4 linked regions of the Notamacropus eugenii genome follow. The protein of the gene in region 3 interacts with the protein of the main gene of each other region in a pairwise test. Links are inferred from orthologs where the notes say so. Each region holds a gene or a part of one and is shown on either strand. Other genes may lie near its edges. The genes, in order: EVL, ING5, HTT and OSTF1.

Region 1 (7,192 bases), on a different chromosome or scaffold from region 3:
AGGGTGATGTCTTGACTTAAAAGTGATTTCGATTTAAGTGAAGCAGGGCTGTGCAAAGTCACCAGCCTCACTTTCTCCTCTAGAAAGGCAAGACATAAATCAAGAAAACTGGTGATGGCCCATGCCCATTAGAAACTCCTAATTTAAAGTGGGGAGAGGAGATAAGCCATGCTTGCAAATAAGTATGATACAAGGTCAAGTATGATAAGCAGTAGGGCAGATATGCAGACATAATGCTCTTAAACAAATTGGGGGAGACAAAGATCCTTTTCAGCTGGAAGGATCAGGAAAGACTTCATGGATGAGGTGGCACCTTGTCAATACAGATACAGGAAAGTTTGTGATACCCAGACCCAGTAGATGGGAACAAGAAGCTCCCAAGAAGACAATAAAGCAAACATCTTTATTGAACAGACATGCTTACAAAATAAAGGATAGTCAGGGAGAATTATAGAAACAGGACAGATCTGGGCTCTTGGTTGGAATAGGGCACCCCACCTAGGGCACCCTCTTCCATAACAGTAAAGCCTGGTGAGTTTTGACCAGTTCTTAGGTAAGTCTAATAAAATAAACCAGAATAAACACTAGGGGAAGTGATTGAGAAGCCTGAACCTATGGACTGGTGCTAATTCAGATTGGGAGAAAGAGGAGGCAGAGGAGGGGGAGGCAAAGGGGTTTTGGGTTGTAACTATAGGTCTTATATTTACAGAGTAACTCAGCTTCTCTGACAGGGATTTCTGGGCTTCTTTGATTAGTTTCTCAGACAGGCTAATGTATTCCTTATACACTTCAACTTGAACTTAGACTTTAAGAATCATAGCATCTTCTAGTTCAAAGGAATCTTAAAGGTTATACAGCCCAGTGATGCCACACATCACCACCAAGTGTCCACTTGACCTCCTTTTAAACATCTCCTGTGATAAGGAACCTCTGCCTCTTGAGGAAGCTCATCACATTGTGGGGCAGCTAGAATTATTAGGCAGGTTTTTTGTTCTCCTCTTTATTTGAAATCTCCCTTCCTCCAATTTGCTGCTCATTGGTCCTAGTTCTGTAGCTAGGTGTTGCAGTGGATAGAGTGTTGGGCCTGAAGTCAGGAAGACATCTTCAGACGCTTATTAGCTGTGAGACCCTGGGCAAGTCACTTAACCCTGTTTGCCTCAGTTCCTCATTTGTAAAATGAGCTGGAGAAGGAAATGGCAAACCTCTCCAGTATCTTTGTCAAGAAAACCCCAAAGGAGGTCATGAAGAGTTGGACACGACTGAAAGCAACTGAACAACATTGGTTTTATGGAATAATACAGAATAAGTATAGGCCCTCTTCCCCATGATGACCCCTCTTATATTTGAAGACACGATCAAAATCATCACGGTTTTCTACATTTTTCACACAGATTGTTAGCTGTCTGAGCGAACTGCTACCTTTTAGACCTGGTTTTTATTTATATTTTACTTATTTCAGTCCTAGAAATTATTTGAAAAAAGAATGGGAGGAAATTTCAACTCTTCAGTATATATTTGTTTTCATGTGGTATCCCACATTAGATTGTAAGTTCCTTGAGGTCAAGAATTGTCTTTTGCTTCTTTTTGTATCCCTGGCACTTAGTACAGTACCTGGCACATAGTAGGCTCTTAATAAATTGATTAATTGGTGCTGAAAAATTGATTCTTCCCCTGTGTCTCCCAGATCAAATAGAATAGTACCCAGTTCTGTATTATGTTCAAACCACCTTGCCCCAGAGCCTTCCCATTCTATGATGCTTTTGCCCTCTCTCCTGGGCTTTTAGCCATAGATATCGATGTTGCCTCTGGTTCAGTCCCTGCTTGTTATTTCCATCATGTTTCTATAATGATTCATCTGACAACAGGTGGATTGGGGAAATGAATCTAATTATACCAGTTAGAGTTAAGTAGTAGTATCATGGAATGAAGTCTCCTCCACAGACTTCCTAAATATTCCAATTTTACAAAAGAGGAAACTGAGGCACAAAAAATTAAGTGCTGCACATCTCACATACTTCTATCACACCCTCCCAAATCTGCCAAAGGTCATAAAACTACCCAGAAAAAGAGGCGAGATAAAAACTTAATCTTTTGTCTTCTAGACTAGGTCATACAATCTAATGGAAGCAGATGTTATGGCTACCCCATTGGAGGTCAGACTTGGTCACCCCTCATCAAAGTATATTTTCCAGGAGGACATGGAAAACGCTGGTTGACAACTTGAGATTTGAAGTTCTTACTCTGACCCAAGTGGTGCTAGAGAAAGAGTGATGGATTTAAGGTTCAATGACCCAAGTTTGGATTCCACCTTGTGTCACTTTAGTACCTATGTGATCTTGGGCAAATTACCTGACTTCTCAGCACCTGAGAATTCACATCTGTAAAATGAGAGGAGAGACAAGGAGATCCCCAAGGGCCATTCTAACTCCAAATCAATGATTCTGTGATCTCCCCTAGTAGCAGCTTATCTGAGGTCATGCAGTGAGTTTGTGAGAGACTCCGGAATAGGGCGGAGTTGGGAGGAAAAGAAGGGTAGAGTAGCAAAACGAATGTTGGTTTAGGAGTCAAAAACTAGTGTCAGCTCTGCTTCTGACTAACTATGTCATTCCCCTCCCTTCCCCCCCCCCCCATTTTCCCACTAATTCTTGGCATTTGAATTTTCTCTTAGGATGTTACTGTGTTGTTCAGTTGTTTCCAACTCTTTATGACTCCATTTGGGGTTTCTTGGTAAAGATACTGGAGTGGTTTATCTACCATTCCCTTTTTCAATGGATCCATTTTGTAAGGCAATCAGAGATTAAGTGATTTGCCCAGGGTCACACATCGAGGCTGGATTTGAATTCAGGTCTTCCTAACTCCAGTTCTCTATCCACTGAGCTACCTACTTGCCTCTCCTAGGATATTAGACCTAGTGATTATACTAATGAAATTACCTGGCCAATCAGGAGGCTCGGAATAAAGTCTCAACTCAAGGCCATATGCTCTTGAAAAATTAGACTTTTTGTAAATATTCACATTTTAACAAATTTCCCAATCTTCTTTTACCCTGAAACAACATTCAGAGTGGCTTTTGGTTTTGTTTAGCGGTTGGACAGCAAGAAAGGTGTAAGAAACAAAACTCAAAATGACATTTAAAATTCTTTATGTGATTGCCAAGGGAAACTGCCTCCTAGTAGGCTATGTTTGCATTTGAAGAATTCAGGTACACTCCTGCTTTCCTCTAGCATCTGAGCCTAGGTTTTTGTTCTAAGTTTACTAAGTTTTTTCTTTCCTTTTTGGGGGGGTGGGGCTATCATCATCATCACTAGTAATGGTGAAATTTGGCTCTGGAGAATTTTCCATGACCTTATCCAATTATACCTACTTGATCATAGAAACATTGAGTGTCAGATCTGAGAGGAATCTTAAAATCACACAAACACACGTGTACACACAATCATTTCTCAACATGTGTGCTCTTATTCCTCCATGCCTTTTCTTGAACTTAAAAAGATGAGTAGGGATTCAGTGATGGAATGAGACGTAGCGAATATTCCGAGCAGAGAGCACAATTGAGCTGAAGGAGAGAGAGGTGAGGAAAGATTGGAAAGGGAAGGCCATTGAGTCCAAACCTCTCATTCTAAAGACGAGGAAACTGAGATTCAGAGAAGGCGCAGACTAGTGCAGACTCACAGCAAATTCAGCTCATTCACTTCTGAGGCAAAATTGGAACTCCCGCCATCCGGGTGGTGCCAGATTGCAAAGGATGCTGAGTCCTAGGGAAAGGGTCTTGAACTTGGGGGACAGGGGGTAGACAGTGAAGGTTTAAGAGCAGAGAAGGAACATGACCAGCTCTCTGCAGAAGCACCAGATTTCTGAGGATTTTTTCCAAGTCGGGCTGGATGTCCGTAGCCGCTCCTAGTGAAAACAGCCCCCACTACCATGGCTAGCCACACTACCCCAATAAGACCAGAAAGCTGCGGCTGGATTCCCCCAATTAGCCCAGCAGATGACAGTGACAAAGGCTGGCTTCTCCTTCTCTCTCTCTGGACTCCCCCAACCCCCACCTCCCTTGGAGATGCCAACCCTGGAGGGGGAGGTGTGGTGCTGAAACCCATCGATCTGCGATTGAGCGCGTGGCCCAGTCGGGTCCTGCCCAGAACCTGCCTGCCACCGCTGTGGAAGAAGGCAGCTCCCAGGGTGCTGCATTCATCAGAATTGCTGAGCTGATCACATGGTTTTCTTCCTGCCTTCCCCGTTAGCTGCTCCTTGTCAGCAGCTGGCGGAGCCCGAGGCCGCAGGCCAGTGTGTCTGCAGAAAACCTTTCCCGGCCCTACGTTGCAGAACGCCAGCCTCCTGCTCGCGCTCCCACACCCGCGCCGCCGCCAGCCCGCCTCGCTAACTAAATGGTTTTCCTCCGTGCCAGGGAGATTTCCGTGGATCCCAAGGAAGCTGCCTCTGACTAGGCCATGTTTGCATTTGAAGAATTCAGGTAGGCTCCCGCTTCCCTGCATCAGCCCGAGCCTGGCTTTTTGTTCTGAGCTTACTGGGTGTTTTGTCTTTCTGTCTGTCTTTTCTTTTCTTTTCTTTCTTTCTTCTTGTTTGCTGTGTAATGACACTCTGGGATCTGGCCGCTGCTGCTGCTTGCTAGCAGGGCTGACTTCGGTATTTGTTGGCGGGTTAGAGGGAGATTTGGTTTGGGGAGATTAGGGTTGGGGGGTGCGGGTGGAGATGGAAAGCCCGGGATCCAGGGAAAGGATGCTGAGTGAAGGCTGAAGTGATAGCCAGATAACTGATTTTTCCGTTGCACGAATTGATTAAGATCCACCTGGATGCCGGTGTAGGGCTCTGAATACCAAGCAGCCCAACATCGGTCCACCCTTTGTCAAACCCAGGAGAGAATGATGCTCCTTTCAAAAATAAATAAATAAAGTGGGGAGGTGGGGGATGAGAAGAATGTTAATGGTGGTAGCTGAAGCCGGAGAATTTTGGCAAGTCTGCAGAGCTGAGATTTGGCTTTGACTTCATCAGATGTTTGTTATTTTTAATAATAATCTCCTGGCTGGGGAGCTCTGGGTGAAGCCTGTTGGAAGGGTTTCCCTAAGCAGGCTTTCTCTTTGCTGTTTGTAAGCGGTTCAGCTGCTGCTGCAGTTCTTAATGTTCCAAATTAGCATCTTTTGTGAGGCTGACTTGCCCCCTCTTTCCTCAGAGAACCCATCTCTGAGTATCAGTGTGGGAAGGGTAGTTTGGGCGAAATGAAAATTAAGGAGGGTAGGGCTGAAAAGGCAAACAGATGGATTCTATGTTATGTGCCACCTCTTGTGAGCTTATGAAGGAGTGTGTTTGCTGGGATTCCTGACCTCTACTAGCCTCTGGTTTTCTGAGAATGATTTACTTTTTATTTTTATACTAAGCCAAACCATTAAAACAGCTGGAAAGACTAGTGACTCAGGATGTCAGAACTGGAAGAAAACTTGGAATCATAGAACATGGAATGTTGGAATAAGAAGGGACCTTGGAATCACAATATGAAATGTCAGAGCAAGAAAGGGACCTTAGAATCATAGACCATGGAATGACAGTGCAAGCAGGGACGATGGAACCATAGAAGAAAGGATGACCGAGATGGAAGGACCTTAGAGATTATCTGATCTATTACCTCATTTGACAGATGTGGAAACTGAGGTTCAATGAGTTTAAGTAATTTATCTAAGGGTGTACACCCAGGAAATGGCAAAGTTAAGATGAATCCAAGTCCCTTGTTTCCAATCTACAGGGTCTCCTTGACGGCTTTACAGCCATCATCACAAAACCCTTATCTGATTTCCCAAAATGCTACAACCCTATCCCCTTATTTAAAATAATCACAAAACAACCACCTTAGTAGATATAATAATTATAAGAGTGAGGGAGGGAATGAATGAAAGAGGGAGGAACCCTTTTCATACAGACAAGGAAAATGAGTTACAAGGTTGGGCTATAGATGTCTTTCCATAAACTTGGCTCTTAAGATTCAAGGATTTCAGTTTGTGTTGTGTTTAAGAGGCTTGCTCCTTAAAGTTAGAAATTGGAAAGGCTTATTCTTATGGGTAGAAAGAGGTCATAGATGGTGAGGAAACTCTGGTCTTATACTTCAAGGACTATTTTCTGTAAGCAATGGTAGAAATGAGGACTGGTGGCATTTCACACTTGCCAGCAGGTTTCTTTGGCCTGAGTGAAGGGGTGTTCCTGGAATCCGTTAGAATGCTGTGTAACTGCAGTTGCCAGAGCATTGTTAACCACAGTCCATTCAATGATAACAGGAACTCATTTGACAGATATTTATTAAAATACCTACTGTGTAATAGGCATTGTGCTAGGCACTTAGGGACACTTTTTTAGTCACTTTAGAACTTGAAAGAATCTTTTGAGATCATCTAGTTTAACTCCACCTAGTTCGAGTCTAACTTGTTGCCCAAGGTTACACAGATAATGACTATCAGGGACAGGAAATAGCGAATAAATGGTGGAGTGGAGATTCAAACCCAGATCCTTTGACTTTAAACCTAGAGTTTTTCCATTATACCATACTGGCTGGGGGATGGAGGAGGGTGGGAAGGGATGCATATAATGTAGTATTCAAACCTGTTTCCACTCTTAAAGGTCCTGGCAATAAAGTGGATTTAGTCCTAGTGCCCAGAACTGGGGAAATAGTTCTCTACACACTCTGCCCTGATCAGACTACACCTGGAGAATTGTGCTCGGTTCTAGGCAACCCATTTGAGAAACAATGTTGATTGGTTTGAGATTGGGAGGGCTACCAGTAAGAAGAAAGAGGCCAAAATCAATCTGAATGAATCTTAACTGAAGGAGCTAGCGTGCTTAGCCTTGAGAAGACAGAGGCAGGACAAAAGACATTGGTGTGAGAAGGGACTGTATTACTCTAATTGTTCAGAGGGTTTTTTTCCTCCCCCAACCCCCAATTCAAACCTAAATCTGCTATTTCCACCCACTGCTCCTGCTTTCTGGGGCCAACCAGAACAAGTCCCTCCTCCAAATGATAGTCCTTCAAACCCTCTGAACAATTAGAGGAATACAAATGTAGGATGGGCTGCTTCTCGAGATAGTGGGTTTCTCATCACTGCAAAAGCTCTTCAAGTGCTTGTCGGGGATTGTATAGAGAGGATTTGGGTGATGGATCATATTAGATGAACTCTGAGTTCTACTAAGCTCA
Region 2 (7,677 bases), about 330 Mb from region 3:
TAGTATTTGAGGCTGGTCTACTAAAGAAAAGAATAACTTTATTTGAAATCTCTTTGATAAGGGAATAAAGAATACTTAAGATAGAAAAAGTAAGAACAGTCTCAGCATCAGTCCCTCCCTCTTCCAGTTATTTCCAAATGATAGCTCAGATCTCCTTCTAGGGTCTTTGTGGCCAGACTCTTAGAGTAGGGCATTAGAATGCTTGTAATGAAAAAAGGAGGCTAGGTTTGTACTACATTCCATCTGTCTTTCTGAGCCTTCAAGAATGAAATTAAGGATGGAATTGAGCTAAACAGCTGAATTGGGCCACTACACTAAACCTGGGGAGGATGATAGCAATAGTAGTAATCATTGCCATTTTTATGGCATTGTAAGGAGATCAAAGTGCTTTAATGATGTCTGATCTCAGTCAACAAGCATTTATTAGATACCTACTATATGTCAGCCACTGTGCTAAGTGCTTCACAGACACTGTCTTATTTGATTATCTCAATGACCCTGTGAAGTAGGTGCCATCCACACTTTACAGTTGAGTAAACTGAGGCAGATGTTAAGTGACTTGCATAAGATCACACAGAGTTGGAGGCTGGATTTGAACTTGGTTCTTCATGATTTCAGGATCAGTGCTCTATTCACTGTGCTATCTAGCTGCCTGGGTCTATTATACCCTCATTAAAAAAACAAACCAAACCAACTCTCCTCTGATGAGTCTTCAGGTAGCTCTCATGCAGAGCTGAATTTTTCCAGTTATCCACTGAGTGGCACCATCAAGTCTAGTCTCCAGGAAATGAGAAAGGGCTTCATGAGCCCTGACACCCTAGAGAGTGGTGGTGAGTTCTCTTCAATCCTCAGGGCAGCCTTCTGAGCTCAGAAGCCCTTCGGGGAGGATCGGAGAGGAGCAGCCAGCCACTTTCCTCAAGTCACATGGCTCCCATGTGGCAGAGGGGATCTGACCCTTTCTGCTAAGTCAGCTCAAAGACCCAGGTGATGTGAGCTCCTTTGGGGCAAAGAGTCACTGTTGTTTCCTCAGCACTTAGAACATTTCCTGACACACAGTAGGAGCTTTGTGAATGCTTGTTGATTCACTAAGCAACAAGTTAGGTGAGGACAGTGTGCATGATCTGCACTGGGAGTGGTCTCTGCCAGCAGGAATTAGAATCCATTAAACCAATGTTGTGGGGAGGATGCCATCTTTGGATTTGGATGATTTGGGTTCAAACTTTGGCTCTGTCCCTTCTACCTGTGCAAGCTTGGGCAAGTCTTTCAGCCTCAGCTTCCTCATCTGTAAAATGAGAGAGTTGTCCAAGACAGTTGCTAACCTTTCAGCTTTTAGTCTGTGATCCCCAGGACAATCCTTCAGGACTCCTGGGAGTAAACTGGTCAGCTACTGCAGGGGAGTAAGGCCCCTGGGCTAGCACTTACTGTGGTAAGTACTGGGGAAACAAATAAGAAAAAGACAGTTCCTGCCATCAAGGGGCTTCCAGGCTCATGGAGGAAACATCACACAAGAGGAAGCTCTGCTTCGTGGAAAGGAAACCAAGGGAAGCCCTGAGGGAAAAGGAAGCGGCCTGCAGCTCTGAGCCCTCTGCAGAAGCCAGCTTGGGAAGATCCACCCTCCACCTGCCAATCAGAGGGAACTTGGGGCCCTCCAGGCTGCCCTTTCCATCACCCTTGCTCTGGGGCAGCAGATGGAGCACTGGTCCTGGAGTCAGCCTCAGACTGACTACTTGTGTGACCCTGGGCAAGTCACTTCACTTCTATTTGCTTCAATTACTCCTCTGTAAAATGGGGGCACACTGTAGAAGGACATGGCCAACCCCCACAGTACCCTTGCCAAAAAAGTGCATGGGGTCACACAGTTGGACACAACTGGACCACACCACCCCTTGTGTGTATAGGTAATGAAGCCCTGTCTATAATGAACCTAGGGTGCCTAAGTCTCAGTGCATGAGAAGGCAGAAACATTCCCTTCCAAGCTGACATTTGCGGTAGCAGCCCCATCCTCCAGACTGAAATGTGTGAAACCCCAGAGGGTGAGGGAGCGGGGGACCTTCCCCTCTCTCTGTTGAGAAAAGACACAGCTACATGCTAGGAGCTGCCACCTTGGCATACAAGCAGACCTAAGGAAAGCTGCTGAATGATGTTAGAAATGCTTCTGTTGAGATCGACTTTTCTGATGTCCCTTTCCGAATGCTTCCACAGATACCACTATTGTCTTCCTGCTGCTTTGCTTGACTTCTTAGCCAGCTCTGCTCTGTCTCCCACAGAGACAGTGACTGTTATGGGCAGGGGAGGGAGCTGTTCTAGGGTCCCTTCATTCAGGGAAAGCCTGGATAAAAGGGTATCACAGACTTACACCAAAGGCCTTTGGTAAAGGTGGGAGTCATTCTGATCTGATGCCAGAAAAAGGATGGAGGGTACAAGTAGAGGGCCTTGGCCAATTCTTGATCAGAGATTAAAGCAGAGAGGAGAGCAGAGGTTGCCAGGGAGCAGATCTGAGGTGTGGAGTATGGGAGGGGAGGGTCTTCACAATGGGTGACGTTTTCTCAGTAAAGTAGGAGCTGAGGTCTGTTGAGAGGGGCTTGGGAAGGTTGGCAGAGGAGGAATGAGGAGAGAGGAAGGTTCAAGTAGCCACTGTGGAGAGAATGACAGATAATCCGGGAAGAGCTAAAGGGTCCCAGGGTGGCAGCAAAGGCCTAGTGGATATCTGATAATGAATTTTTTGGTAATCCAGCTGCCACGGCTGCCTGACCCTCTCTAGCGGCATTCAGCAGTGCCTGAGGAAGCTCAGTGGCCATAATTGAGGAGACCTGGACCATTGAGGTTGGATTTATCAACCTTTGGGTCGTGTCTATGAAGGGAGGCCATGGCAGGGGTGAGGGATTGGGAGAACCGAGAAAAAAGGGGCTGGGAGAGGTAGTAGCTGCAGACAGGAACTGACTTCTGAATCCTGATCCTGACACCCCCAACCCAACCAACGGCCACCAATGGCCAGATAAGCCTGTGAGCCCCAGGCATGGCAGGACCATCCAAACCCACCAATTCTGCTCACAGGTATCTGACTCTACAGGAGCTGCACCCCTGAGCCCCTGCAGCTACTGAAGACCCGCATCCTCAGCAGCGCCAGCCTGTCTGAAACCAGAAAGAGGTACAGCTTTATCAGTGGCAATGGCACCAACAAGGCCCAGTGGAGGGCCATGGGACCTTTCCATCCGACCTGACGCTGAAACCCCCTACCAGCGTCTGTGCTCGCCCAGGAGAGCGCGGGCTGGGAGGCTTTTCTCTCTCCGTGCCCAGGGCTTTGCCCCTTCTGCTTCCTTCAGAAAGGTTCATTCGTTCATGTGCGAAGTGGGTGAAGCAGGACATGAGCATCTCGGTGTATCAGGGAGAGGAGGGAAGGCGGTAACGGCCACTTATGTCAGGTTCTTCGGCTTGTGCAGCATCTGACCCTCACGGTTACCGTGGGAAGCGGGCCTCAGTGCCCCCACTGCTGCAGAAGCGGGGAAGTGACTTGGGCAAGGTCACCCGGCTATTAAGCGTTTGAGGAGGGACCTCACCTCCAGGGCTCCATCCACCGGACCACACTGCCTCCCTTCGGGGCACCCCAAGAGAGGAGGGGCCAGGCCCCCAACTCCTGGGGAGGACCAGCGGATGAGCCGGCGGAGCTCTGGCCAGGGCCACGCATCAGTCAGGCAGCACCTGGGAAGCGTCTGCTGCGGGCCTGGCGGGCCGGGCCGGGCGTGGCGGACCCAAGGCCGAGGGAGCGAGCGGGCTAGGACCTCCAGAAACTTGCATTCTGGTGGGGGAAAAGGGGCATGTGTGCGTGTGCGCACGTGTGTGTATGTGTGAGTGTATGTGCACGTGTGTACGTGTGCATGTGTGCGCTGTGTGCACATGTACTGAGCGTGCGTGTGCGCACGTGTGTGTATGTGTGAGTGTATGTGCGTGTGTGTGCACGTATGTATGTACGTGTGCATGTGCGCGCCTGTGCGTGCTGTGTGCACATGTACTGAGCGTGCGTGTGTGCACGCGTGTGTATGTGTGAGTGTATGTGCGTGTGTGTGCACGTATGTATGTGTGCATGTGCGCGCGCCTGTGTGTGCTGGTGCACGTGTACTGAGCGTGCGTGTGCGCACGTGTGCATGTGCGTGCGGTGTGCGTGTGCACTGGCAGGACAAACCGCAAAGCCGCACACGTGCGGAGCCGTCACACCCACACGAGGCTCCCGCTCCGGAGCGGGAGGGGGCGCAGGGGGCTGGCCCGGGAGCCCCCCGGAGGCAAGACCGGAGCCGGACTGAGCCGGACTAAGCCGGACCCTCTCCTCTCCGCTCTCCCCGGGACAACCTCCCGGGGGCGCTGCGTGGAGCCCCTCCTGTGCGCGGGGCGGGGTCGGCCCGGGCTCTCCGGGTTTCCCCTCCTCCCCGCGGCCCGGGCACGTGCAGCCCACCGGGCTGGCGGGCTGGCTCCGGCCCGGCCCCCGCCCGGGGCAGGCGGGCAGGCGGGCAGGCTTCGCCGGCTCCGCTCCGCTCCTGCCCGGAGCCCGCGCGCCCCTCCCGGGCCATGCTCGCGCGCCGCCGGGCGCCGCCTGCCGAGGGGCGGGGCCCGCCCTGCGCTGAGCGCCCTGGCCAATCAGCGGGCGCCCCTCATGAATAGGGAATGAGGCAGCGGCGGCCCCACAGTGAGGCCGCCCCGCCCCCTCGCTCTCGCGCCCGCGCGCTCGCTCACTCCCACCCTCGCCCACACACGCGCCGCCGGGGCCGCAGGACGAAGATGGCGACCGCCATGTACTTGGAGCACTACCTGGACAGTGAGTCGGCTCGCCGCCGGGGCCGGGGCCGGGGTCGGGGCCGGGAGCGCCGTGCCTGGCGCCGCTGGGGCCTCGCGGGGCCTCGCGGCGGGGGCAGCGGCCGGGGTTCGGGAGGGCGGGGGTGCTCGCGAGGAAGGGTGGCCCGGAGCGGGAGGGGGTCCGGGGGGAGGGGCGGGGACGGGGGCGGCCGCGGGGGCGCGCGCGAGGGGAGGGGCGGCCGCGGGGGCGCGCGCACGGGAGGCGGGAGGGCGGGCTCGGCGGGAATTAAGAGGTGCGTCACCGTCCCGCGAGGGGAGGGAGGGCGAGCGAGCGAGGGGGGAGGGCGGGGCGAGGTGACGTAAGGCGGGGGCGGAGCCGCAGCCACCATGGCGACCTAGGCCACTCCGGCGGCGTCACTGCCCGCGGGACACGCCCCCTCGCTGCCTCCACCAGCTCGCCCCGCCCCCCGGCGGTTCCTGGCGCCCCCTGGCGAGCGAGGAGCGCACGTCGAGCCTAGAACGCTGGCGAGAGCGCGAGAAAGGTTGTTCCATGGATCTGGAGCTGGGGACCGGGAATGCTAGGTCCATGGATCTAGAACTAGGAGGCGAGCCCCTTTGATGAATCTGGAGCTGGGACAACGTTCTAGGTCGGTGGATCTAGAGCTGGAGCCGTGTGCTAGGTCCATGGATCCAGAGCCAGGGGACTGTTTTGGGCTCCCGGAGAGACCTAGAATGCAGGGAGCTCGGAGGGAGCTGGGGCGCCATCCCGGGCTCCCGATTCTCAGCTTGGATTCCCAGGCGGGAGCTCGCGTTGTGGAGAGGCCGGACGGCGTCCGAGCGCGTGGGGACAGCCTGGCGCCTCCGCCGCCCTGGTTCCAGGCCCATTCTGGGGGGGTCTAGACCAGCCTTCCTCCCCCCTCAGTCTGGAGCTTCCTGGCTCCTTGGGGACGCACCCGAGGAGCCCCCACTGCCCCCACACCCTCCTGTGGCCTCGCCAGGAACTCCCAGGCCGCACCCTCGTGCCCCCTTGGGTGCCCCCGGGCCGCGCCCCCGTGCCCCCTTGGGTGCCCCCGGGCCGCGCCCCCGTGCCCCCTTGGGTGCCCCCGGGCCGCGCCCCCGTGCCCCCTGGGTGCCCCCGTGCCGCGCCCCCGTGCCCCCTTGGGTGCCCCCGGGCCGCGCCCCCCGTGCCCCCTTGGGTGCCCCCGGGCCGCGCCCCCATGCCCCCTTGGGTGCCCGGTAGATGGCTGCCTCCGGGGCTTGTGTGCTTGCCGACTCACAGGCTGGGTGATGTCTCCTCCTCACATGGTCATCTGACCGTGGGGGTGTCTGTGCTGGCATAACTAGAAAGCAGCAGGACCAGGGGAGAGCCCAGGAGTTGGAGTTGGACCACCTTGGCCAGTCACTCCTCCTCCCTAAAAGGAGGAGCTAGGCTAGATGCCCTCTGATACGCCCCAGTGCCATTGCTTCTAAACTTGTTAACAGTATACCATTTCCTCAGTCAGCTAATTTCAAGTCATTTTTAACTTGGAAGAAATCATGTAAAACCCTTAGCACAGTGCTTGAGGCACAGTAGCATGCTTAATAAATGCTTATTTCCACCCCACTCTCACCCCTACCTTCCCTCTCACATGAAGTGAACAGCCCTTGGGCAGGTGCTTACTGTGTTATAAAGGGGAAGACCAAGGGGTTTCTTTGCCTTTGTACCCTCTGCTCTCAGCCTTGAGCTCCTCCTTCTTGTCTGAAGCAGGACCTGTTGGGGGTGGAGCCCAGCCACTGCTGCCAGTCTCTTGGGAATGGCACTGCAGGAGCACCTGGCTCGAAAGGGCTGTGGAGAGAAGGACAGAGGAGCGGGCCGCCTTAAGAAAGCTTCCGTTCTGTCACTCCCCCTCCTCTATAGGAGGAGGGATGGGATTGTATAGTCCCAATCATCTATAAGATGAGGGATCCTAAGGCCTTTTCCAGTCCTGAAGTGGCTGTGATTGCCTGGCACAGAGAGAGGATCCGATTCCAGTTCAGTCAGTTTGCCTCAGGAGGGTCTGGCACATGGAAGAAACAGGACCACCTGCAGTTTGCTTACAACCGGCTTGTTTGGGGAAATGATGCATTATTGGAAAAGAGAGTGTATGTGTAGAGCTCTCGGTCCCTCCTTCATGGTTATGGCACCTGTGGCTTTGTCCATGTTGTGGGTATTTCCTTCACCAAAGCACTGCACCTCCTCTCTCACTTAGTCCTCAGGAGTTCCTGGGGTTCCCCTGTAGCCAGCCTGATGATGAGCCTCTGGACTGAACTAAGTCTTTGGACATCACTCAGAGAGCTCCCAGTTTGACCCCAGGTGATGGATGCCTCACGAGCAGCAGTGAGTGCAGATTAGTACTCTCAGAAAGGAACTGGGCTTCATTGATGGGGAAGGGGAGGGATGGCACCAGAGGAGCGGCCTGAGCTTTCTCTGCTTTCTAGACGACAGAACTCTCTGGGTCTCTTTGGTTCCCCCTTTCATTCCCTTCACTCTCATGTCCTCCGTTTTTCCATGTCTATAAACCATTGACATCTGGAGTGCCTTTGTGATGAGGATCCCCAGCACACACGTGCTTGTTCATTGGAGAACTTGGGGGGAATGTTCCTTGTCCCCTAGAGTATTCATGATGGCAAATGGAATGGATCAGGAGCGGTATTCTAGTACTGCCTTTGCTCCCTTCCACAGGCATTTCAGATGTAGTTCTTTTTGGCATGATGAGACTCCCCTTGAGTAATTCAGTTCTTTTAATGTTTCCAGTTTGCCTCTAGCTCTCTCGTCAGGTGCTTTCTTGTCCTCATCTCATTGATCTCTCATTCCTATTCTCTGTCCCTTTTCCCTCTTTTTTACATTCTGAGCATGTGTCTTTCTCTCTATCT
Region 3 (7,256 bases):
CTATAATATAAAGCTAGACTGATAGTCCATCAACATGTACAACTTGAACACTTAATTAAAATAAAAAACCGAGCCCAGATTGAACATGAGGAGATTGGGCTAGCTCACATTTAGACACTAATGTGTGCCTCTTAGTTGCACATTCCAAACTGCATATTGCCACAAATATCCATCTCTTTTAAGGACAGACATGATAAGTCATGTCTATAAATCATGATATGCCAAAATCTTGGAAGAATCAAATTATAAGTAACCCTAATAGCACTGGAAAGATTCATGATGGGTATAAAAAAAAACAATGGCATATTACTAGCAATGACATGAATATGAAAAGTAGAGCTTAAAACTCTGAGGTTCTACCTCACATAAATAAGATTAGCAAAAATAGCAACAAATGAAAATGGCAATTATTGGTCAGGTTATGGGAGATCAGGCACACTATGGACTGTTGATGGAACTGTAAAGTGATCCAAGTACTCTGGGAAATAATCTGGAACTGTATTTTAAATACCACTAGTGAGTGTGTGTGTGTGTGTGTGAGAGAGAGAGAGAGAGAGAGAGAGAGAGAGAGAGAGAGAGAGAGAGAGTGTGTGTGTGTGTGTACATCCTTTCACCCAGCAATAGCACTATTAGGCATATATCCTAAACAGGTCGAAGACAGAAAGGAAAAGATTCGCAAGGACAAATAATCATAGCAACACTTTTTCTTGTAGCAAAAAACTGGAAACAAAGTGGGTACACAGAAGAAAACAAAGCTCTGAAGGGGATACAAGCTGGGCAATTGCTAATTATTAAATTAAATATATTCTATCTTTCAAAGCAAATTGCCCATAATGGATATTCCCCTTCATATGCAAACCTTTTTTTTTGTACATTGAAATGTTTTGTGTCTGTGGGAAAATAATTTTATAGTAAAAATAAACTTTTAATTTAAATGGTGTTTTAAGTTAGCATCAGTGACTAGGACAAAAAAGTGGGCCAGTTGTATAGCCAAACTGACAGACCAAAGATGAATAATTCCCCTGCTCCCCCAGTATCCTTTGATACAAAAGAACCAGAGTCAAGTTCCTAGTACATTGGACAGATTTTCTAAGAGGGATTTATGTGAAGACACACAAGAATTTACAGGATGAAAAGACATGAGAGGTTTTGCCTGGTACTGGTGGAGAATGAAGTCACACCTATGGACATTTGGGTCCAACAAAGTAGCTAAAGTAATTTTCCATAATTATTTTTTCGTGAATTATTTTCTTACTATTTATAACAATATTATTACAAAGGTATAATACTATATTCAGGCCAATGTTCACTGACACCATCTTTAACCTTACTGATAAAAACAGGCAAAACTTCACATCAAGTTCTCAGCTTTCATGGTGGCCTATGTATTTCAGTTTCAATTAAGTAAATTCTCAAGAAAACAGAGCAGCAGACAACTAGGCAAACAGTCTATAAAAGGATGACATCTGTGACCAGTTTTATTTATTTTCTTCCTCCATGTGTTGTCTTCCCCTGTCAGAATGTGAGCTCTTTGAGAACCGGGATTGTAGCTTTTCTATCCGCAACCCCGGTGCTTGGAAGATAGTAAGCACTGAAACGCTTTTTCATTGCTTCAAATTGACATGTTTCTGTAACGTGCATCTCAGAATTATCGTACGTGCCAAGTCCAAGCAAGTTACAAACAACATCGGGAAAGTATATTCAAGATTATCTTCCTAGTCTTGTAACAATTTAACTACTGTCTCCAGAAGCATTTTTCTTTCCAAGAGAAAAAAATGGACTTCAGGAAAATTTTCCCAATACTTTCACTATTACCATCTCTCGTTTATTCAAAATTAAAATTCCTGAACTAAGAGTAAGTTCATCTCATTTTTACTATTATGTACTACAACCTATTCAAACTCTTACAGACCAGCATGGAAAGTGAGAAGTTGGGACCCTTCGTTATTGTCATCATCATGGTGACCCTGACTAGAATTTAACGCTCTACACAACTTAGTAACGAAGCCAAAACTCTCAGGTCCAGAAGAGCCACCCCCGGGGCTCGGCTCTAGCGGACGTCCCGGGCCCCACCCTCCGCCCCCGCCAGGACCCAGGTCTTGGGCTGTCAGAAACCCAGGGCGGGGACCACAACTTCCAGACTTCACTCCAATTCCTGAACCTTCCTTCCCCCCGAACTTAGAGAAGTGACGGGAACCCAGCAGAGAGCCCACGGGAGAGGGGAGGAGGAGGGGGGGAAGAGGAGGAGGGGGAGGGGGAAGAGGGAGGGAGAGGGGAGGGGGAGGAGGGGGAGGGGGAGGACGGCCGGAGGGGGAGGGGGAGGACGGCCGGAGGGGGTCGTCTCAGGTCTTCGAGGAAACGAGCGCGAGAAGCGGGTCCGCTTCCCAGCAGGGGAGCAAGCGCAGGGAGCCCCGGGTCTCCCGACGCTGGGGGGAAGGATGAGGGGACCCCCGGCTCCCTTCCTCGAGGCGCGCACCACGGGCCCCCTCAGCCGGGGGAGGAGACGCCAAGCTGGGGACAAGCTGAGGGGGCCCCCCGACGTCCCCCCTGGGTCTGGGAGGAGACCGGACGTCTAGTGCCCAGGAAAGAAGGGGGTGGGGCGAGACCCCCTCCCTCAAGCCGGGGAGGTGACAGGCTGAGGGGTGCCCTCGGGGCCAGGACCACAGGTGCTCCGGCCGCCAGCCCCCCGGAGCCCCACCCCCAGGCCCCGTTTCTCGGGGGCACCGGGGATCCCGGGAGGGGCCGGGGCGCCGCGCTCTCCCCGCCCGGCCGGCGCCAGCCACTCACGGTCGGTGCGCCGGCTCCTCCCCCCCGGACGGCCCGGGCTGCGGCGGCGGCGGCTGCTGGGGCGGCTGCTGCGGCGGCTGCTGGGGCGGCTGCTGCGGCGGCTGCTGGGGCGGCTGCGCCTGGGACGGCTGCGGAGGCTGCGCCGGCGCCGGCGGCTGCTGCTGCTGCTGGAAGGACTTGAGGGATTCGAATGCCTTCATCAGCTTCTCCAGGGTGGCCATGGCGGCCAGTCAGCGGGAGGCCCCGCGGCTCCCGGCGCCAGCCCAGGGCCCGGCGTGGCCCCCTGCGCCCTCCCCGGCGGCCCCCGGCCTCTCCCGCGTCTCCGCGGCCCCGCTCAGCAGCCGGGAAATGAATGGAACGCTTGGCAAAGACCCGAGACGGCGCCGAGCGCCGCCGCCATCTTGGAACTGTCCCGGCAGCCCCCGCGACGGGAAGCGGCCCTCAGCGCGGGGTTGAGCTGGGAGGAGACACTGACGCTGACGAGAGGGGGCACCGCGGGAGTGACAGCGAGGCAGAAACTGCGGCCGCCAATCAGAGGCGAGAGGCGGGCCTAGGCCCCGCCCACCTCCTACGGGGCGGGGCCCCACTGTAGCGCTGGCGGCTGCCGACGTAGGATGAACGTGGTTCTGGTACATTGAGAGGGGTTAAGAGATGCCCGAGGAAAGAGGGACTCTCTGCATTCCTCGGTCTCTGGAAGAAACTCAGCCGAACCTGTCCGAGAGTCGGCCTCATCCTCAGAGAGCTGCAAAGCCACACAACAATCCCATGAGGAAACGAGTACGGAAGGGGAAATTGAGGCTCAACAAGTAGAATTGGCCCTGGGCTAAGTGTTGAAGGTTGAATTTGAACCCAGGTCCTCTGAGGCGGGATTCAGCGTGTTAGCCACTAATATCGTCCCAACCTACAACAGAGCCTCCCCCACCCCCACTACCAGTCAAAAAGTTCTTCCCCATGTCTAACCTCCTTCCTTTTGTTTTGGAAGCAGCCTGATTCGACTCAAAAAGCAAGGCTTGCCTTCTTGCCAGGCCATGTATCAACACAGTTCATCCACACAGGTCCCTTTTCCCCGAGAAACTCACTGCCTAGCCTGGAGATGAGACAGGATAAAATCCAGGGTAGCTTGCTTTGTGTGCCAATTCTCCGTACCTCCTGTATATGCTGTCCTGTGCCTAGCTTGTTCGTACATATTGGATTGCTTGGGGTCCACACCACCCACCACCGTTAGATTGTAATTGCTCTGGAGAGCAGAGACTGTCTTTGCCCTTCTTGTATCCCCGGTGCCCAGCAGGAAGGGGACGCCTTATAATTTATTGAATGCTGCTGGTGTATTATTTTATTGGGGAGGGGGTGGCATAGAGAGGGTTAAAAGCTTCAACAACAGGAATTCCTATAGGAGCTAGCAGTATGTGCTCTCTACCCCCACCCCCCATCTCTTAATGGGGAGTTCTTAATGGGGCAGTGCCGAAGTTGGGAGGTGCACAGGAAATGATAAGAGGGGTACATGGGTTTATCCCAACCTCAGAAATGAAGGCAGATAGTGTGAGGAGGCAACTAATACCTTCCCTCTGAGGCAGGAAGGAGGTTTAAGGCATTCACCCTGTCTGAGCTAGGCACAAGGATGAGGGGACCCTCTCTGGAGAAGGAGCATGGAGGTAATTCACAACTGTCTAAGCAGCCCCTTGAACCAGATCTCGGAGCCAATGAGAAGAGGCACCGAAGAAACTGACAAGTAATCTGACTCTGGCAGAGTAATTAACAACAGGGGATAGAGGGATCATCCCAGAATCTGGAAAACTGCCAGACATCTGCTTCCATGGACAAGTCACTCAGCCTTTCTGAGTCTGTTTCCTCTTAGCTCCCAGGGCTATTCCAAACCTCAGAGGAGATGATATTATAAAAAACACTTCTCAAACTTTAAAGTAGCATACAGATGTAACTTATCACAGGGATGATAGAAGGTGGCCAGGGCCAAGAGGAACTTGGGAACTCGGAGGGAAGTAAAGGGGCAGCAGAAGCCATGAAGTGTCTTTTCCCCTGCTAAGAGGAAGTAGACTTTCAGCAAAGACAGCTGATCATACAGAGATTCAGAGAACTGCAGCTTTGTCATAAATGATAGTCTAAGAGGAGAGGCGCTGACCCAAAATATGACCCAGACATGATACAAGGCAACCTCCTTTTGCAGCCTAATGAAACCTGTGGACCCCTTCTCAGAATCATGTTTTTAAATGTATAAATTAAAATACATAGGATTACCAAGGAAACAAATTGTTCGTGAATCCCAAATTAGGAACCCTATCCCTGTCTTACACTTGAATTACATTGGCACTCCCAATTACATTTTAATCTGGTTTGAGCTGCACTTGAGAGTGGCCCAGTATTTGACTCCTTTGTCCTACAGCACTCTTATCAAACTTAACTATAAGGATCATATATATATATTCATATGTATGTAACTTAATTTTGAAATATAATATTGTCTATTTTTTTTTTTGCATTTTCATTTATTTTGTTAAATATTTCCCAACTGCATTTTAATCTGGTTCATACTGGTCCCTGTGTTTAATACCTCTGTCTTAGAACATGAATTCCCTTGGGGAGAATGTTTTTCTTTTCCCCCTCTGGCCCTTGAACTCATGAGAGACTCCTTGTTTGTTTTGAGGAACTCTCTACATAGTTTTGCTTGGTATCTGCTATGTGCGTGTGTTTCATTTAAATACTTTACTATTTGACTTGGGCTTCCTGCCTGGACTCTGCACTGAATGGGGATTTGAGCTGTACTTTTTCCACACAGTAACCCAAGGGATGAGGGTGTGGGTTCCAGAGTCCAGTAGGAAATCCATTCAAGTAGTCTAGCAAAAAGAGCTCTAGATTTCGATTCCCAGGACCTTTGTTTTAAACTTTGCACTCTGATACTTTGCCAACTATGTTACATCTCTGAGCCTTGTTTTATTCATCTACAGAAGGGAGATAATTATACTTGTACTTAATAGAATTGTCATGAGGAGAACAGTTTTTATCCTTTAAATGCTTTCTTAAACCCTAAAGCCCTGGATAAATGGAATTTATTATTTTTAAATGGTTATTTACTTATTTGTCCACAGAGTCCTCATCACAGCACAGAGGAGACCCTAGCAACACCTCAAAAGCCAACACCATTGGAACACAACCTCTGGTAGATCCTACAGATATGGAAAGGATAAAAAGTACAGGCCCAGTGATAGAATTAATGTCTCATGACTGAAGGTTTAGCCTCCTGGAGTTATTTTTTTTTAATCACAGTCCCTCATGAATAATGTGGAGGAATTTTGATCTTAATCTGGGAAGAGATAAAATCATGGGCCCCTGAAGTATTATTGTCTTCTCCCATTTCTAAATTCCCGTCCTACCAGGCCTTTATATCTTCCCATACACCTAATACAGGGCTCTGTACTTAGATTTAGAACTAGACTGGACTTCAGAGGTAATCTAGTCCAACTCTCTCCTTTCACAGAGAAGGAAAACGAGATTCAGAGAAGCAAGGAAATAAGTATTTATTAAACGCCTACTATATGCCAGGCACGGAACTAAGCATGTCATTAATATTATCTCATTTGGCTCTCATAACAACCCTGGGAGGTAGGTGTTATTATTGTCCCCATTTTACAGAAGAAAAAACTGAGGCAAAAGAAGTTAAGTGACTTACCCAGAGTCACAGAGCTCCAAAGTGCCCGAGGCTGGATTTGAATTCAAGTCTTTCTGATTCCAAATCCAATGCTGTATCCAGTAGAACCACTGAAGTCACCAGTAGTAATCATAGTAACTAAAATTTATATAATGCTTACTATGTGCTAATTATGATAAACGCTTTATAATTATTATTTCATTGGATCCTTACAACAACCCTGGGAGGTCAGTGTTATTACAAGCCCCATTTTACAGATGATGGAACTGAGGCACATAGGGTGAAGTGACTTGCCCAGAGTCATACTGGTAAGCGTCTGAGGCCACATTTGAACTCAGATCTTCCAGACACCAGGCCCAGTGTTCTAGCCACCATACCACGTAGGTAGTAATGGAAGAGCTAGGATCTGAACCCAGAACCCCTAACTCCAAATCTAGGGCATTTTTTTTCACTGTAACACTGTCTCCGTTCAGTGTACTTTCCATTAATAATTAGCTAGCATACATCCACTATTAGCTCTTAGCAAGGGCATTTGGTAAGGTAGATGTAGCTACAGAACATTGGCTCCATAAACATGGTACATTCTCCCACAAGTAGACAGTGTTCATGTGAAGAGTGGATTCAAACTTAGAGAACAATGGTGGTGAAGCCCACCTCTAGATCCAGGTGCGACAAAGTCAATTCACCACCCCTAGTACCAAAGGACCTGGAAGCCCTTTCTCTCATCATAGAGACCTCCTATAGCTTTTCTTGGTGCTCAGGTAGGTTCCCAGGGTCTGCTCCTCTTCACAGGTCACTTCATTTGCCA
Region 4 (7,780 bases), on a different chromosome or scaffold from region 3:
TAAGACTTGCTTCGATATTTTGATGGATTGATGACTGGATGGATCTTTTCACTGTGGGTGCTCCCTTCATTGAAGTAGATCCCAGCCCCTACACAGCTTCTCATCCTGGATGACTCTTATCCATGTCCTCCCAAAAATTCTCCACAAGGAGACATATCAAAGGCCTTCCTCTTGGTCTCTTGATGCTGCACAGATACCAATGGCGCAGTAGTTAGTTACTGTCCTCACCATGTATACCTTCTTTTTCAGTCACGTATATCTCTGATGGCAGCAATGGAGGTACCTTGCGATCTATTTACACTCAGCATGGGCCTCCTCATAGCCTTCTGGGTGACCTGCAGTTTGAATTTTCAGAGACTATATGTGGTATTCCATGACTTGTAGTCACATTGTACCATCAGAAAAATATTGGGGTATTAGCTCACATCTATCAGAAATTACAAATGCTGGAGGAGATGAGGGAAAAATAGGTACGCTAATGGAAGTGCTGGTGGAATAATAAGGTGGTCCAACCATTCTGGACAACAATTTGGAACTATGTCCAAATGGCTATAAAATTGTCCATTTTCTTTGACCCAATAATACCACTCCTGGGCCTGTATTCCAACGAGAAGAAAAAAAGGAAAAGGAACTATATGTACAAAAATATTTATGGTAGTTCCTTTGGTGGTAGTAAAGAATTGGAAATGGAGGGGATGCCCATCAATTGGGGAATTGCTGAACAAGTCGTGTCATATGACTACGATAATATAATTATGCTATAAGAAATGATGAGGAAGATGATTTCAGAAAGACATGGGAAGAACTATATGAACAGATGAAAAGTGAAGTGGGATGAAGTTGGAGATCACTGGGCACAATAACACCAATGTAGTAATGATGATCAGCTGTGAAAGACTTGGTACTCTGACCAATACAATGTTAAAAGATAATTCCAAAGGACTTATGATGAAAAAATGCCATCCGCTTCTAGAGAGACAACCAATGAACTATGAGTACAAATTGAAGTATAACTTTCTCCGCTTATTTTTCTTGCTTTTTTTTTTTTAAAAAAAATAGGGCTAACATAGAAATATGTTTTACATGACTTCACATGTATAATTGATATGATATTACTTACCTTCTTAGTGGATGTGGGAGGATATGAGCAGGAGAAAATTTGGAACTCAGAATTTAAAAAGAAATACAATTAAAATGTTAAAAAAAGGAAGGAGAGACAAGGGATGATAGTGGGGATGGATGGATCTAGTGACAGTTTTTTGATAATAGGGTAATATGAACATGTATATAAGCAGGCAGTAAACAGGCAGAGAATGAAGACAAATGAGGCAATTGGTATGATAGAGGAAGCAATCTGCTACAGAAGATGGGATGAAATGGGATCACTTGCACACCTAAAATTAGCCTTGCCAAGCGGAAGGGACACCTCTTCATATGAGACAGGAGTGAAGGAAGAGATAGTGGCAGAAAGCATCGAGGTGATATGGCATGAAGAGAAAAAAAGTGAGCTTTCAGCAAATATTTTTTAGAAAAATTTTTCGGTGAAAGATAAGTGAAGGCTTTCAGCTGAAAGAGTGGGGGATGATGGAACCTTGGGAGGTTGGAAAAGGTTTAGAAAATAAGTTGTGGTGAGTATCTCATATTCTTTATATTTTTCACATCCCCTAGCACAATATCTTAAAAATAGATGGCACTGAAAAAATACCTTTTCATGCTTCATTCTTCAGTATATCAAAGAGAGTTCAACCTCTCATGAGTGATTCCACGGTTTTATTACTGTAATAATCAATTTGTTTCTTCCCTATGTCTAATCACAATCTTCGTCATTTTCCTGTAAGTCAATTTCCACTTGTTTTGTCTTCCAAAGATGTGGAAAATACCTGCTTAGCCTTCCTATGTTGAAAAAACAAAGCAAAACCCCATGCTTCTATCACAGCCACATCTTAGCTTTGCCCTTCTCTAGACTAAAACAATACCAATTGTTTTAAACTGTACTGTTAAGACCTATTTGCCATTCTAATTATCCTTGTTACTATTATTATGTCCTGCTTCAGTTTCTCCACATCCCATTTGAAGTATATTTATAAAAAGTTTATAAGGTTGTTCTAAACTCAGCATATAGTGAAAGCATGATTCTAGTTGGCATTTTTCACAACAGCAGGCCACTGCTCACTCATACTCAATTTGCGGTAAAATTTAACCTCAGCCCTCTACTTGCCACAGGTCCACTCTCCCTCCCCCCATTTTTTGCCTGTTTGGTCATTCCCCGTCCTCTGTTTGCATGGGTGTCACAGGATATCTTTAATATATTTTCAATTCATGCAAAGTACAACTGTATTAATATTCATATTGGATGATTATTTGTTAATTTAATAAAAAATAATATTGGAGTAAAAATAACAGGCTTTTTTTTTTCTGAGAGAAGTTCAGGGTCATCAAAGGCACTACACAATTTTTCCAAAGGTAATCTACCATATTTCCTTCCCTCTACTCAGTTCTAGGCCTGGCTCATTAACAAATCCCAGTTTTTGGCCAAGGTATATGTAATGATGAGGGGCAGCTAGGGGTGCAGTGGAAAGAGCACCAGTGCAGGAGTCAGGAGGACCTAAGTCTTACCTCATACACTTGACACTCAGTAGTTGTGTGACCATGGGCAAGTCACTTAACCCCAATTGCCTCATCCTGGGTCATCTCCAGTCATCCTGCTGAATATCTGGTCACTGGTTTCAGATGGCTCTGGAGGAGAAGTGAGGTTGATGACCTGCATAGCCTTCCCTCACTCAAAACAAAGTCAAGTGCAAGTCATGTCATCATCTCTCTGAAGGCATGGTCTTCTTTGGCAACGAAAGACTAACACACACAATGTAACGATGAGGGAGGTGGGATCTCCAGTTCTCCTGTATCTTGTATCTGTATCTTGCCACTGGATCCAGATGGCTTTGGAAGAGAAAGTGAGGCTGGTGATCTTGCACAGCCCTCACTCACTTAAACCCTATTCACTTGCAAGTTACGGCATCACCTTCCTAATGTCATGGTCCTCTTCAAGAATGAAGCAGACAACAACAATGGAACAACAATGTAACAATGATGGATCAGCAATATGGACTGGCCATCTAACTAGATGACTTCTACCGAACAACAGGTGTGCTTCATCCACTTTTTTTAACTGTAAACCCAAGCTTCAGAAGGGATTATGGATCTTGTTGGGGTGGGGGAGGAGCACTGCAAAATGCTGCAAGGCTTGATGCACTCAGCAGAATGTTACCTGCAAATGGGTGACTTTGAGAAGACTTCTTCATCTGTAGGGCACGGCTTTTTTCATTGGGACACTGTACTACATGATACTGGCAAATACCTTGGGTGAGAATGTCTGCCTCTTTTCTGACCTGCTTGATATTAATCTGATTTAGTGCTTCTGTTGTTAGGTGTTTCAAGGAATTTTGTACAAACTGTATTTATGTATACAAGAGCTTCACTGGAGCAGTTTTCAAAGTGAAATTTTGCTTTTTTCTCCCCTCTATTTGTCAAATAACAAGCACATTGGGATCTTTTATTTTCCATGGTATATTCAGTCAAATGTGACTGTACAGATGCAGTTTGCTGTAGAATTTGGAAAAGCCTGTAACCTCCTCATACCTTCAACAAGGATGTTTCCAGTTCATCTGAAGATTATATTCATGAAAATTTTGTAGAGACAGGAAAGAAAGCATACCAGTTAGTAGTTACCGATAGTCTACATTTTGGGAGGTAATAATAATATAATGGAAAGGAGACTGACTCTGGAGTCAGAGGACTTGGGGGAAAATTGTACCTCTGATGCTCATTACTTAAGTGACCTTGGGCAAGTCAGTTTCCTCCTACTCAAAATCAAAAGGCTGGACCAAATTGCCTCTAAGTTACTTTCAGTTCTAAATTTATGAGCCTTAGACGTTTAAAAGTCACAGAAGCAATCTAGTCCAACTCATAGTTGAAAAGTAAACCTCTCCACAACAGAAACACACTATATATATATATATATAATATAAAACCAGTTGCTGGAAGGGGTCCAGCGAGGAGCTTATAAGCTTATTAGCAACAGAACCAGCCCAACTCCTAGGTAGCTTATATTATTAGGAAGTTTCCCCCACCCCTACCATCAGGTCTTACATAAGAAGGCCAGGTAATCATTTATTTTACAGAGGGGGTGGTGGTGACAGAAGAAGAGAACCTTGATCTCGTTTGTTTGGGAAGAAACCACGCCATGTGGAAATTCCCTCCACCAATGAAGTGGCTGGTCATTGTAGGTAATTTGCACTTCGCAGAGTTGCTTAGTCACCAAGAGGCTGAAAGACTTGCCCACGAGGTGTAAAAGACAGGACTCGAACCCAGGTCTTTCTGCCTCCTCTATTCCCCACGTCAGGCGGCAGCTCTCCTGGTGGAATGTTCATGGTGACAACAACCTTCTCCTCGAAAAAGTGCGACCTGAGGCACCCCTAAAAGGGGGAGGCGCGGTGGCCAAGCGAGCACCTGGGTGAAGACCCCGCAGGCGCAGCGCCGCACCGATCAGGTACTCACCTGGCAGGTAGTCCCGGGCGGGCACCACTTCGCCACCGGTCCCCCAGAGCGTACGAGCAGCTTTCAGGGCAGACCGTCAGCGCGGGTGATCAGCTCAGACCCTCGACACCAAAGCCGGGGGGCTCCGGCACTTTCCCGGGGCGGCCGCGAGGCACGCAGGCCGCAGGCAGCGCGCAGTCCAGTCCCGTCGGCTGACCCTCCGCTCCGGCTCCGGCCTGGGGGCGGGGCCCCAGCTCGGGTTCCGCGCCCGCTCAGAGGTGGGGCGCGCCGCCCGTGCCCGCGCTCGCCCGCGCGCTCCCTCCCGGGCCCGTTCCGTCCCGCCTGGGCTCGGCTTGGGGCTGGGCTGCCTCCGCCGCCTCTGCCGCCGCCGCCGCTTCCGCATCCCTGCTGCGTGCATGAGCCGCTGCAGCCGCTGGAGCACTCGGGGCCCGCGAGCCAATTAGCGTTTGCTGAGGTAGCCTTCACTTCCTCGTTGAGCGAGCGCTCGGGACGCTGAGCACCGCTTGGAGGAAGCCCCCCTTCCAGTCTTCTTCCCCTTCGAGGAGGGGTGGGCTGGGCAGGAGAGAGCGGCCGAGGAGCCGGACTCAGACTTGTACTTGGTCTTCTCCCTCCCCGGCCTTTCGGATTCGCCGCCCCGGCTGGAGAGATGTCCAAGCCGCCCCCTAAGCCCGTCAAGCCAGGTAAGGGAGGGGCTCCACCCGGGTGCCAGGCTGCCCTGCTTCCCTGCGCTGCCGCCGAGCCCTCTTCTCTTTACAGAGCGAACCAGTTTGGAGGGTGATCGATGACTTTTAAGTTCAAGAAATGACAGGATTGTTTTTGATGACAAGAGTTTTGAGATCTGGGGGTGAGCGCACGCACTGGCAGCTCTGCAGCGTTCCTGGGGGGATGTCTGTAACATAAAGTCAATCGCTTGATTATACCTTTAAAAAAATTCTCCAAACGACTTTTAAAGATACTTCCCTTTTTTTGGGGGGGGGGGGGGGAGTTGTATCCTTGTCAAGAGTCAAGACGGACCCAAAAGTGGGAAGTGCATGGGTGGGTGGGGTGAGGTGAGGTAAGTATATGAAGTCCTGCGGGACGTCTCCGGAAGGAAGAGCAAATGCACTCCATTGATCTCGGCTTCATTTTTGGAAAGCCTGTAGTCAGCTCCAGCGGCCTAATGCTTCAGGGCCGGAAGGATTCCGGCAGCCCTGGCCATTGCGGCTCCAAGCTGTCACTTTTATACATACGCCATCAAGGCTTCGGGGTGAATATGGGCGGCGGGGGCGAGGGGGAAGCGGAGCCTGCCCTCCCGAGTGGAGAGAAGCCTCCGAAAGCACCCTGGCAGATAGTCCTTATTCATTAGTAAACTTTTATCCTCTCTACCGAAGGGTTCTGTGCGCTTGGGAGAGAGGAAGGAAAGGGACAGCTGATTTCTGAATCCAGTGTGTTTCAGTAGGATACTGATGAATGATGGAGTAAGTCGGAATTCCGAAATCGGGGGATTTGCTGAACTTTAATAAAAGCATCTTCAAAGTTCAGAATACATGTTTTCTATTGTTGTTCAGGAATGTCAAGGATTTGGTTTTATTCTGTACATCCTTCGTTATTGTATTTTTTCCCTAAATTTATAGTGTTTTCAAACATAGTATAATTTTCCTCCTTTAAAAAAATGGGAAATAAGAGTACCGTAAATCCCTTTTATTTGAAAAAAAAAAATTACTACCCTTGTGATGTTATTGGTGAATGCCAGTACTCCCAGTAAGGAGATTCCGTTGACCAGTGTATTGGCAGTTTCTCTGAAATTTTTAGTCTCTGTCACTGAGAGGTTGAATGATTTGCCCAGGGTCACACAGTATGTCTGTGACAAATGAACCATTGTCTTGGAGCCCCTTCCCCTGCTAAGCTGCTAAGCCAGGCTGCTCTCTTCTCAAAATTATTGGTTGCTTTTTTTTTTTTTTGCAAGTTTCTTGAGATTTAAATTTGCATAGACCCTACTAAATCTTAACCCTGTGCTTCCTGGTGTATGGAGGCCTTGCAGGCTATGTATATGTCCTATTATGGTCTACCATGTTGGAAATGCTTTGCATGTGATTTTGGCAACGGATTCTGAGTCAGGTTGTTGTCCCAGGATCAGCCTACTTCAGACACAGGCTCAGCACCAGATAATGATATTTTTTTGGGCATGGCAACTCCCAAGCAGCATCCACATAGGCAGTGGGGGGACTGAGGCATCAGAGGGGTGATGACACTGATGAATTCCTAAAACTGTGAAGTAGTTCTTGATAGGAAAGCCATACCAAAAGAAGAGTGATCGTAGACTTTATTATTTTGACCAAAGACTGGGTGTGAATAATAACATTTTTATGTTTTGATTTCAAGTTTTCTGTTTTCTGAAAATGCTTTCAAAGCATTTGCTCATGACAATCCTGTAAGCTAGGGTAGAACAAGTACTATTATAATTATACCCATTTTATGGATGAATTAACTCTGGTTGAATCGGTTTGGTGACTTGCTCGGGGTCATATATATGGTGTCATGACTCCCAGTTCCCCCATCTTTTCAATTATCCCACATTATCTCTTAAGAGTGAAACAGTGGGACTTGAAAGTGTTTTAGACAAGAGATCAAATTTTGCCATTGGATATTTGATTTTTATTTGCCAGGAGAAAGCAACTTATCAAATGAAAATAATGTCTTATTCTTTGGCACTCAATTATTTAAAAAAAAAAAAAGTCCTGGAAATCGATCAAATGGTCTTCTGGATCTAGAGACAGTTTAAGTAATGTCTGTGATGATGTCTGTTCCTTCTCTATGAGTCAGAAAAAAAAAGGCTGTTGCATTTTTTTTTTCAAATTTGCTTAATGGATTATTATCATGGTACAGGATCTATCAGTCACTTAGCCTCTTTTTCTATGAAAGATTAGGAATCTCTAGTTCTTAAACTTGAGTCATTGTACTCATTCACATGGACACTATTTGTCTACTACCATTAAGCCCCACTAACATGGATCACTATTTCATTGTCTTGCTTTCTGTTCCCAGTGCTACTGGACTATTGCAATAGACTCCTAAATGGTCTGCCTCGTTTGCTGTGCTCTCTAATCCCTCTTTCACACTTACTAAAGTTAGTGTCTTAAAGCACAACTCGGATCATTTTGTTATACCCCTGTTTAAAAGTATCAAGTAACTCCTTCATACACTTTTACAGTTAGACAGTTCATGCACCTTGGGTGCTACGTTTTTG

The links.
Region 1: the proteins of HTT (region 3) and EVL interact in binary tests that used the Homo sapiens proteins (3 or more experiments, as listed by UniProt). The link is inferred for Notamacropus eugenii from reciprocal best matches to the Homo sapiens genes HTT and EVL.
Region 2: the proteins of HTT (region 3) and ING5 interact in binary tests that used the Homo sapiens proteins (3 or more experiments, as listed by UniProt). The link is inferred for Notamacropus eugenii from reciprocal best matches to the Homo sapiens genes HTT and ING5.
Region 4: the proteins of HTT (region 3) and OSTF1 interact in binary tests that used the Homo sapiens proteins (3 or more experiments, as listed by UniProt). The link is inferred for Notamacropus eugenii from reciprocal best matches to the Homo sapiens genes HTT and OSTF1.

Annotation. Positions count from the first base shown.
Region 1 is NC_092872.1:355,478,114-355,485,305, reverse strand, and holds the start of EVL (ena/VASP-like protein), read left to right. Parts: upstream 1-4,187; 5' UTR 4,188-4,448; coding exon 4,449-4,471; intron 4,472-7,192. UniProt on the Homo sapiens protein: Ena/VASP proteins are actin-associated proteins involved in a range of processes dependent on cytoskeleton remodeling and cell polarity such as axon guidance and lamellipodial and filopodial dynamics in migrating cells.
Region 2 is NC_092877.1:378,732,321-378,739,997, forward strand, and holds the start of ING5 (inhibitor of growth protein 5), read left to right. Parts: upstream 1-4,658; 5' UTR 4,659-4,770; coding exon 4,771-4,807; intron 4,808-7,677. UniProt on the Homo sapiens protein: Component of the HBO1 complex, which specifically mediates acetylation of histone H3 at 'Lys-14' (H3K14ac) and, to a lower extent, acetylation of histone H4. Component of the MOZ/MORF complex which has a histone H3 acetyltransferase activity.
Region 3 is NC_092877.1:53,267,165-53,274,420, reverse strand, and holds the start of HTT (huntingtin), read right to left. Parts: upstream 3,021-7,256; 5' UTR 3,009-3,020; coding exon 2,788-3,008; intron 1-2,787.
Region 4 is NC_092874.1:374,995,490-375,003,269, forward strand, and holds the start of OSTF1 (osteoclast-stimulating factor 1), read left to right. Parts: upstream 1-4,769; 5' UTR 4,770-5,200; coding exon 5,201-5,234; intron 5,235-7,780.